2 linked regions of the Kluyveromyces lactis genome follow. The protein of the gene in region 1 interacts with the protein of each later gene in a biochemical or structural test. Links are inferred from orthologs where the notes say so. Each region holds a gene or a part of one and is shown in the gene's direction. Other genes may lie near its edges. The genes, in order: PPH3 and PSY2.

Region 1 (3,254 bases):
TCGATTTCTCCTCGCGCTCCTTCAACTTACTATGATAGTGTAAGAGCTCTTCAGAAAGCTCTTTGTTAGTCTTGTTCAGAGTTTCTATAGTCGCCTGGTATTCATCTCTATCATTTTCATATTTCGATTTCAAGAACTTGTATGCAAGTTGTAAATCCGTGATAGCCGTTTGTAGGTCCTGTTGTTTTGAGATATCGTTAAGTTCCAATTCTGAGGTAGAAAGGGGCGCGTGTTGCAAAGAACTGCTTGAATTCTGTGGGTATGCATCCAACAGGATGTCGATGTTTTTCTTACAAAATGAGATTGGATCATGTACACCCTCCTCGTTGGAAGAATTGTCTATTGATGCCAAATTGATACCTTTAGAAATGGAGCTAGAGATCAGGTAGGAGGTGATCTGTTCCACTTTCCCCTCATCCTCATCAGTGCTTTTATTGGCTAAAGATTTATCATTCTCTAGTACCAATTGGACTAATTCTTTCAACGTGTCAACGTCTACCGAGCCAAGCTTTTGTAAGAAAGTAGTTCCCTTAGTACTTAGAGAACCGTTAGCAGATTCATTAATCAAGTACAATGCAAATTCCAATTTCAATTGGGAATCCAAATCCATTGGAAGCTCATCCCACTCCGAATTTTGTCTATTGGATATCAGGGAATTCGTACTCGTAGTTTGCAAATATTCATTCAACTGTTCATTGGGGTACTTCCCATGCAATTTCTCTACAAAAGAGGTATTGTACTCGTACCATTGGTCCAGGTTATTACGAAGCATTCTATCAAGGGGCTAGCTGCGATCAGTATCTAGCTTGGTTTGGTAGCAACTTACATTTTAACATTCCGTTCATCTATCCAGACGCGTTGATTCCGATCAATGCCTTTCTCAATTACCACGCACGGGACATACATGCAGTTTCCGGGTAATACAAGCACATTATCAACCACGTGATATTTGACATCACCACGCACGAATACCGCCATTCCGATGTCTGGGTGTCATCTTCCGAAGGCTTACATAAGCACACCTCATTACCCGCATGTCACGTTAAATTATCGTTTTTGTGGCCGAAACACAAAAAAGGAAGCAAACTGATAAAAAGAAACGTGAAAAAAGAGTACAGGCAAAAAAAAAGAAACAATGGAAGGAGAAGAAGAAGAAGAAGCAAGATTCTGAACAATTCCCATATACAACACAGGCAAGCATTCCACACTACGCTATATACTGTAGACATACCGGAAAGCGCAGACCGACAAGTTGACTTTTCAGGCTAACCGAAAAATGTAATTGTTGTTACCTCTTTTGATACTTGATACTTTTATTTCTCTTGATACTTGCATTTTGTCTATCTCATCGAATTTTGGAAAATAAGAAAGTAAAGAAGCTTTTAAGCCTATATTGTTAATGATGACTATTCAGTTTACCTTTGTTAGATTAGTTTAAGGTAGGTTTTTGTTGGATTTGATCCAAACTCATCACTATAGAATAATATCGTCAGTTCTTGAACAGGGAATCACTTTTTTTTATCTTTTATACTTCCAGTTGGTTTTAACTTTAACGTCGTCTGAGCATCTGTCAATGATGAAACTCGATGAGATTATAGAGACTCTAAGGCAGGGGAAACATGTTGACGAGGATTCGATATACTCGCTGTGTGTCATGGCTCAAGAACTTCTTATGAATGAGTCTAACGTGACACATGTGGATACGCCAGTCACAATTTGTGGAGATATTCATGGCCAATTGCATGATTTGTTGACTCTCTTTGCTAAGAGTGGAGGCATTGAAAAGAATAGATACATCTTTTTGGGAGATTTCGTGGATAGAGGGTTCTATTCGTTAGAGAGTTTCCTTCTTTTGGTATGTTATAAATTAAGGTATCCAGATAGAATTGTGTTGATACGAGGAAATCATGAAACAAGACAGATTACGAAGGTTTATGGGTTTTACGACGAAGTGGTAAGGAAATATGGTAACAGTAACGTATGGAGATACTGTTGCGAAGTATTCGACTATTTGCCCTTGGGTGCCATTGTAAACAACAAGGTTTTCTGTGTTCATGGTGGATTATCGCCGGACGTTTTATCAATCAACGAAATACGAACCATCGATAGGAAAAAGGAGGTACCGCATGAAGGTGCTATGTGTGATTTATTGTGGTCGGATCCAGAGGATGTGGATACTTGGTCTCTTTCCCCGCGTGGTGCAGGTTTCCTATTTGGCCAAAACGAAGTAGATAAATTTTTACACACAAATAGTGTCGAATTAATCGCTAGAGCTCATCAATTGGTCATGGAAGGTTATAAAGAGATGTTCGATGGGGGATTAGTCACGGTATGGTCAGCACCAAACTACTGTTATCGTTGTGGGAATGTGGCTGCTGTGCTGCGCATCGATGACGATATGACGAAGGATTACACCATTTTTGAAGCTGTTCAGGCGAGGGATAGTGGAGGTAATGTCATTCTCCCTACGAAAAAACCTCAAATGGACTACTTCTTGTAACTTATTACCATTATTATTTGCATTTTTCTCTCTCTCTTCTCGATTTGCTGACCGATTCCCGTGTTATTGGTTCAGTCTTCTTTTCTTTCAGCATTATTTAACAGCATGGTATATCACCCTGATCCTCATTATCAACCGACCATCCTCCCAGCATAGCTCAACCTACAGTTGTTGCTTTGTATTAATATTACCTCTCTTCTTAATCTCATTCAACACAGTGATATACCACATTTCAATAAAAGTATCCCAATAGGTATGTAACAGTAAACTATTTCAATAATTGTACGATTGAATTATATGATTCATTTGATAGCATACATATTATACTGTAATATGGAATTTCTGGTTGTATTCCATTCGAGCAGAACATTTATGACGATACTTTTACCTTCCCTTCAATTTTGGATTTAACGGTAATATTTTGATATTTGATCTTCAATTAAGTATCTCAACCTTAAACGGAGTCTTACAAAAAGTCAAATAGACGTTTAGATGCAAGGGAACAGCTGACCGGGCAATATTCATACACCATGTGGAGATATAATCTAGCACTTACCAGACGAATTTTCAGTTCGCAGCCTGCTGCTCTAGTACGTCAGTATTCTGCTTTCAGAAGGCTTCCTAGAGTGGCAACTCCGGTAAAGGATGTTTCTCGTTTGGGCTTCAATGGCGTGCCAAATATGAACAATGTGACCATCCAGCAGTATGATCCCATTGCAACTACCATTTTAAATGAACCTACCATCATTATTGA
Region 2 (4,291 bases), on another chromosome or scaffold:
ATTAGGAGAAGCTACTGCTCTACCTTGCTTTCTTGAAAGTTTAAAACGGACAATGTTGTTAGATAAGACTGGTAGAAGGATTCTACAAGACAGACCAAACATCACATCGGAAAGCCTTGACATGGAACGATTGTCAAAGATGGATAAAAATTCAGTTGGCTATACGTACTACAAATGGTTGATGAAAGAGGGGGTCTCTCCAGACACAAGGGCACCAGTTACTTATATCGATGATCCTGTCCATGCTTTCATATTTAAGAGATATAGACAATGCCATGACTTTTATCATGCAATAAATGACCTACCAATCATAATCGAAGGTGAGATTGCAGTTAAAGCATTTGAGGCATCAAACATTGGTGTCCCAATGGCTGCACTTGGTGCTCTATTAGCACCATTGAGATTAAAGAAAGTGCAAAAGGAAAGACTTTACTCCATCTACCTCCCATGGGCAGTCAAAGCAGGGCTGAATTGCAAACCTCTCATCAATGTCTATTGGGAAGAAATCTTGGATAAGGACATAGACGAACTAAGAAGAGAATTAAACGTCACACCACCTCCAGATTTGAGAAAAATTAGAAAGGAAAGAGCGAAACAAAGAAAACAGTTCAAGCTTAAGTATGAGACCTACGAGAAATGAATTTTAAACCCTCAATCCCCAAATCGTGATGGCTGGCGTAAAGTTGCTTTGTAAAGTATAATGCAGGGTCATTCTGTGGATATAGGAACCAGGAAAAAAGAAATAGAAATACGTACGTAATGAAATAAACGTCTTCAATTGAAGAGGAAAAAGATCGCCTTTGCTTGATCGATTAAAAAATATATCTATAGCTAACATCCTTGCTACGTACAGTACCACTGCCTACACTTTTATTTGCTAACGCGGTATGTTAAACAATTATGATCGAACTTCAGTACGATGTCCTCTTTCCCTCGGTGTGCTTTGCAGCCTTAAAACTGTTCTTTTTTCTTATCACTGCGTTTAGCGGCCAAGAAGAAGAAAAAAAAGAACAAAGTTAAAAACTATCCAATTTAAGACTTCTGACCAGGGCATCTCATCTCACCCCATAATAAAAGAGAAGCAGTGTCTTGTGAGGGTTTTAAGCGGAAGGGGAGGATAATCTGATATTGAACATACAAGAATCTGTTACTTCAAAGCTCTTATAGCGCTTGTGTTTAATCCTCTTTGTCCTTTTTTTTTAACTGGAAGAAGTCACTGACGCTTTCGACGAAGTGTAAACATTCAAGTTTTCTTTCGGACTCACTCGGTTGTTAACGCATTGCAACTTTTGCTTACAAGACTTTGAACCTATTTTGTCAGGTCACAATTAGCAGAAAGAGCTTACGAGATCTTGCCATTTATTAGGGCTTCGATCAGCATAATATAAGATATGTCTGAATCTAACAATATGCATGTTTCTGGGGATGGTGCCAAACAGTCGGTATACACTGAGAAGAAACGCGTGAAAGTCTATGTGTTGGAAAATAACGAGTGGAAGGATACTGGGACAGGGTTTTGTCAGGGGACAGTGGAAGAGCGTACTATAGATGACACTCAGACTGCAGAGAAAATGGCGTATCTTTTGGTGGTCGATGAAGACTCCGATGACCAGGTCTTACTTAAGTCCAGGCTCGAACAAAACATCGAATACCAGCGTCAAGAGGAAACTCTTATTGTCTGGAAGGATCTGAATGGTCAGGATATAGCTTTATCCTTTGAAGAAAGCATTGGATGCGATTCTTTATGTGAATATATTTGCTTTGTACAGAAAAACATTGAAAGCCGCATCTCTTTGGTAGCTGTAAGATCGACAGATGATGGAATCGGGTCTGTTCATGAGATAATAACAGGACCGGTCAATCTTCCCTCAAATGTACCAAACCAGACAGAAGAATCCCTTTTAGAAGCATTGAAAATTCTAAACGAAAACACGTCATTTGATTATCTGCGAAATGAGACAATTCAATTTGTTATCAACGATCACTATTTAGCAACACTAATCAGATCATTCTATCAGTCAGAAGAATCTAAACTATATCGAAATTTATTATTATTGAGCAACATTGTGAAAACTCTAATATTGTTCAACAGCAAGGAGATTTTGGAAGAGATGATCAATGATGAAAACTTTTTATGCGTTTGCGGTATATTGGAATATGATACTGAATTTCCAAACTCAAAACTTAACCATAGACAATATTTGAAAGATAAGGAGCCAAATTTCAAGGAAATGATTCCCATCTCAGATCCAACGATCAAATTAATGATTACGCAAAATTTTAGGCTTCAATTTTTGAAAGATGTGGTTCTAGTTAGATTTTTGGATGATCAATCTTTCACCTTCATATCTGACCTAATGTTGTCATACCAGAATTCCATAATAGATTTCCTACAGGAGGATAGCAACAATTTTATTAATCAAGTCATCTCGATGTATAAAGTTGAGGAGGATTCAACCGTCACCCCAGATAAAAGAAGGGACGGTATAAAACTATTACATGAATGCATCCAACTTTCCCAAAACCTAAATTCAATAGAAAAAACCCTTTTCTACAAATTTTTAATCAAGAAAGGGTTGTTCCAAGTCATCCAATTTGCATTCAACATGGAAACTAATAACGATATTCGAATCCTTGCAACGGATATAGTTGTGGGGCTCATTGAACACGATATCCAACTAATCCAAAGTGTGCAAAGTGACGAAGTCACCTTATTGAATGACGAGAATTCAGATATTGATTCTACAGATATGTCTCTTTTACTTATATTGACCAAGATCCTGCTCACTGATAAGAGTCCGGGATTGAAGGAACAGTCCTTCCAAGCACTTGTAAGTTTATTAGATCCTGAAGACTATATTGTAGATGACTATCAAAACCATGATGACAATATCGACACACGAATTGATAACATGCTTCAAATTCAGAATGGCAAAAATCATGATGGATTAGACGGTGAACGAAATCACGAGAAATTTCAGCTAGCTGAGTACTTGCAATGTTTCTATAGACAAGTTGCGCCCTCCCTTTTCCATTGCTTCATCGATGGATCTGTTAATCTCTATGAATGTGATCAACAGTTACTCATAAAACTTGTGAAACTTCTCAATCTCATGATTCAAGGTCATGAGGCATCAATATCTAGACGATTTATTCTCGAGAATGGAATTTTGATCAGGCTTATATCACTTGCTTCAAGCGATTATATCCTTCAATTAAGGCTTGCTGCAGTGCGTTGTTTCAAAAACATCGTATTTTTAAATGACGACTTCTATCTTCGATATCTTATTGGTAAGAATCTCTTCGATCCAATATTTGAAGTTTTTAAGGAAAATTTGAACGAAGATAATATGGCTAATTCTACAATTTTAGATTTCTTAAAGTCGTTAAACACTCAATTAAAAGTGGTTGAGCAGGAAGATATTCCGCTTTCCGGTAGTAAAAGTTCAAGGAATTTCATGCTGTTGAATAAGTACATCTGCGGTAGATATGGTGATATATTACTGAAGGCAGATTACGTTTCTTTCACAAGAGAAATGATGGCTATTTATCATGAGGAAACCCAAAAGCTTGCTAGTTTATCAACAACGGAAACTAGCTTTGATGAAAATGATAATACTACACTGGAAGTTGAAGTATGACATTCAGATATATCTGAAGATGTGATGCATTTAGATGCATATTAATAATAAGGTTAAAAAGAAGGAGGTTGTTGTTTTATATAGGGATAAGTATTAAAAAAACTAGGATAATATTCAATTCAAGGTCAGATCTTGCATTCTCTAATTGAAAAACAAGACTTTGAAGTTATAGATGGGAGAAAAAGAATAAGAGTTATATGATCTGTGTGTTACAGATTTACTATTTTGAATGATCCAATCACAATGTGCAATGGATTCTCCGTTAGTCAACTAATAGCCAGAAGGAGAAGGTTCTTATAGTTTTGAATCAAAAGCATAATTCAACTCTTTAGGATAAAACTCTCTCGTTATTTGTGTGCCTACATGCCAGGCACCACCGTCGACGACGTGAATAGTTCCGGTGATGTATGAAGCTGCAGGAGAAAAAAGGAACACTGTCGTGTTTGCAATATCAACTGTTGTGCCAAGCCTTTGCAATGGAATCATCTCTGACAGATCTGAGCTCGAATCATTTTTAGTGAGTCGTGCCAACCCTTCAGTGTTGGCGATAGCACCAGGAGCTACACAATTGAACCTTAATCCCAATGGTCCCATTTCTACAGCCAATGCATTTGATAAGGCATCAATACCGGCTTTGGCAGCACCTACAT

What was found.
Region 2: the proteins of PPH3 (region 1) and PSY2 form a complex in vitro, tested with the Saccharomyces cerevisiae proteins (2 studies listed by BioGRID). The link is inferred for Kluyveromyces lactis from reciprocal best matches to the Saccharomyces cerevisiae genes PPH3 and PSY2.

What each region holds. Positions count from the first base shown.
Region 1 is NC_006041.1:889,403-892,656, reverse strand, and holds PPH3 (phosphoprotein phosphatase PP4 catalytic subunit PPH3), read left to right. Parts: upstream 1-1,573; coding exon 1,574-2,500; downstream 2,501-3,254. Other genes in the region: PEA2 (Pea2p), read right to left, coding at 1-772; AIM25 (Aim25p), read left to right, coding at 3,031-3,254. UniProt on the Saccharomyces cerevisiae protein: Forms the histone H2A phosphatase complex in association with the regulatory subunits PSY2 and PSY4, which dephosphorylates H2AS128ph (gamma-H2A) that has been displaced from sites of DNA lesions in the double-stranded DNA break repair process.
Region 2 is NC_006040.1:1,588,693-1,592,983, forward strand, and holds PSY2 (Psy2p), read left to right. Parts: upstream 1-1,391; coding exon 1,392-3,641; downstream 3,642-4,291. Other genes in the region: ubiquinone biosynthesis protein COQ4, read left to right, coding at 1-640; SPS19 (2,4-dienoyl-CoA reductase (NADPH)), read right to left, coding at 3,936-4,291.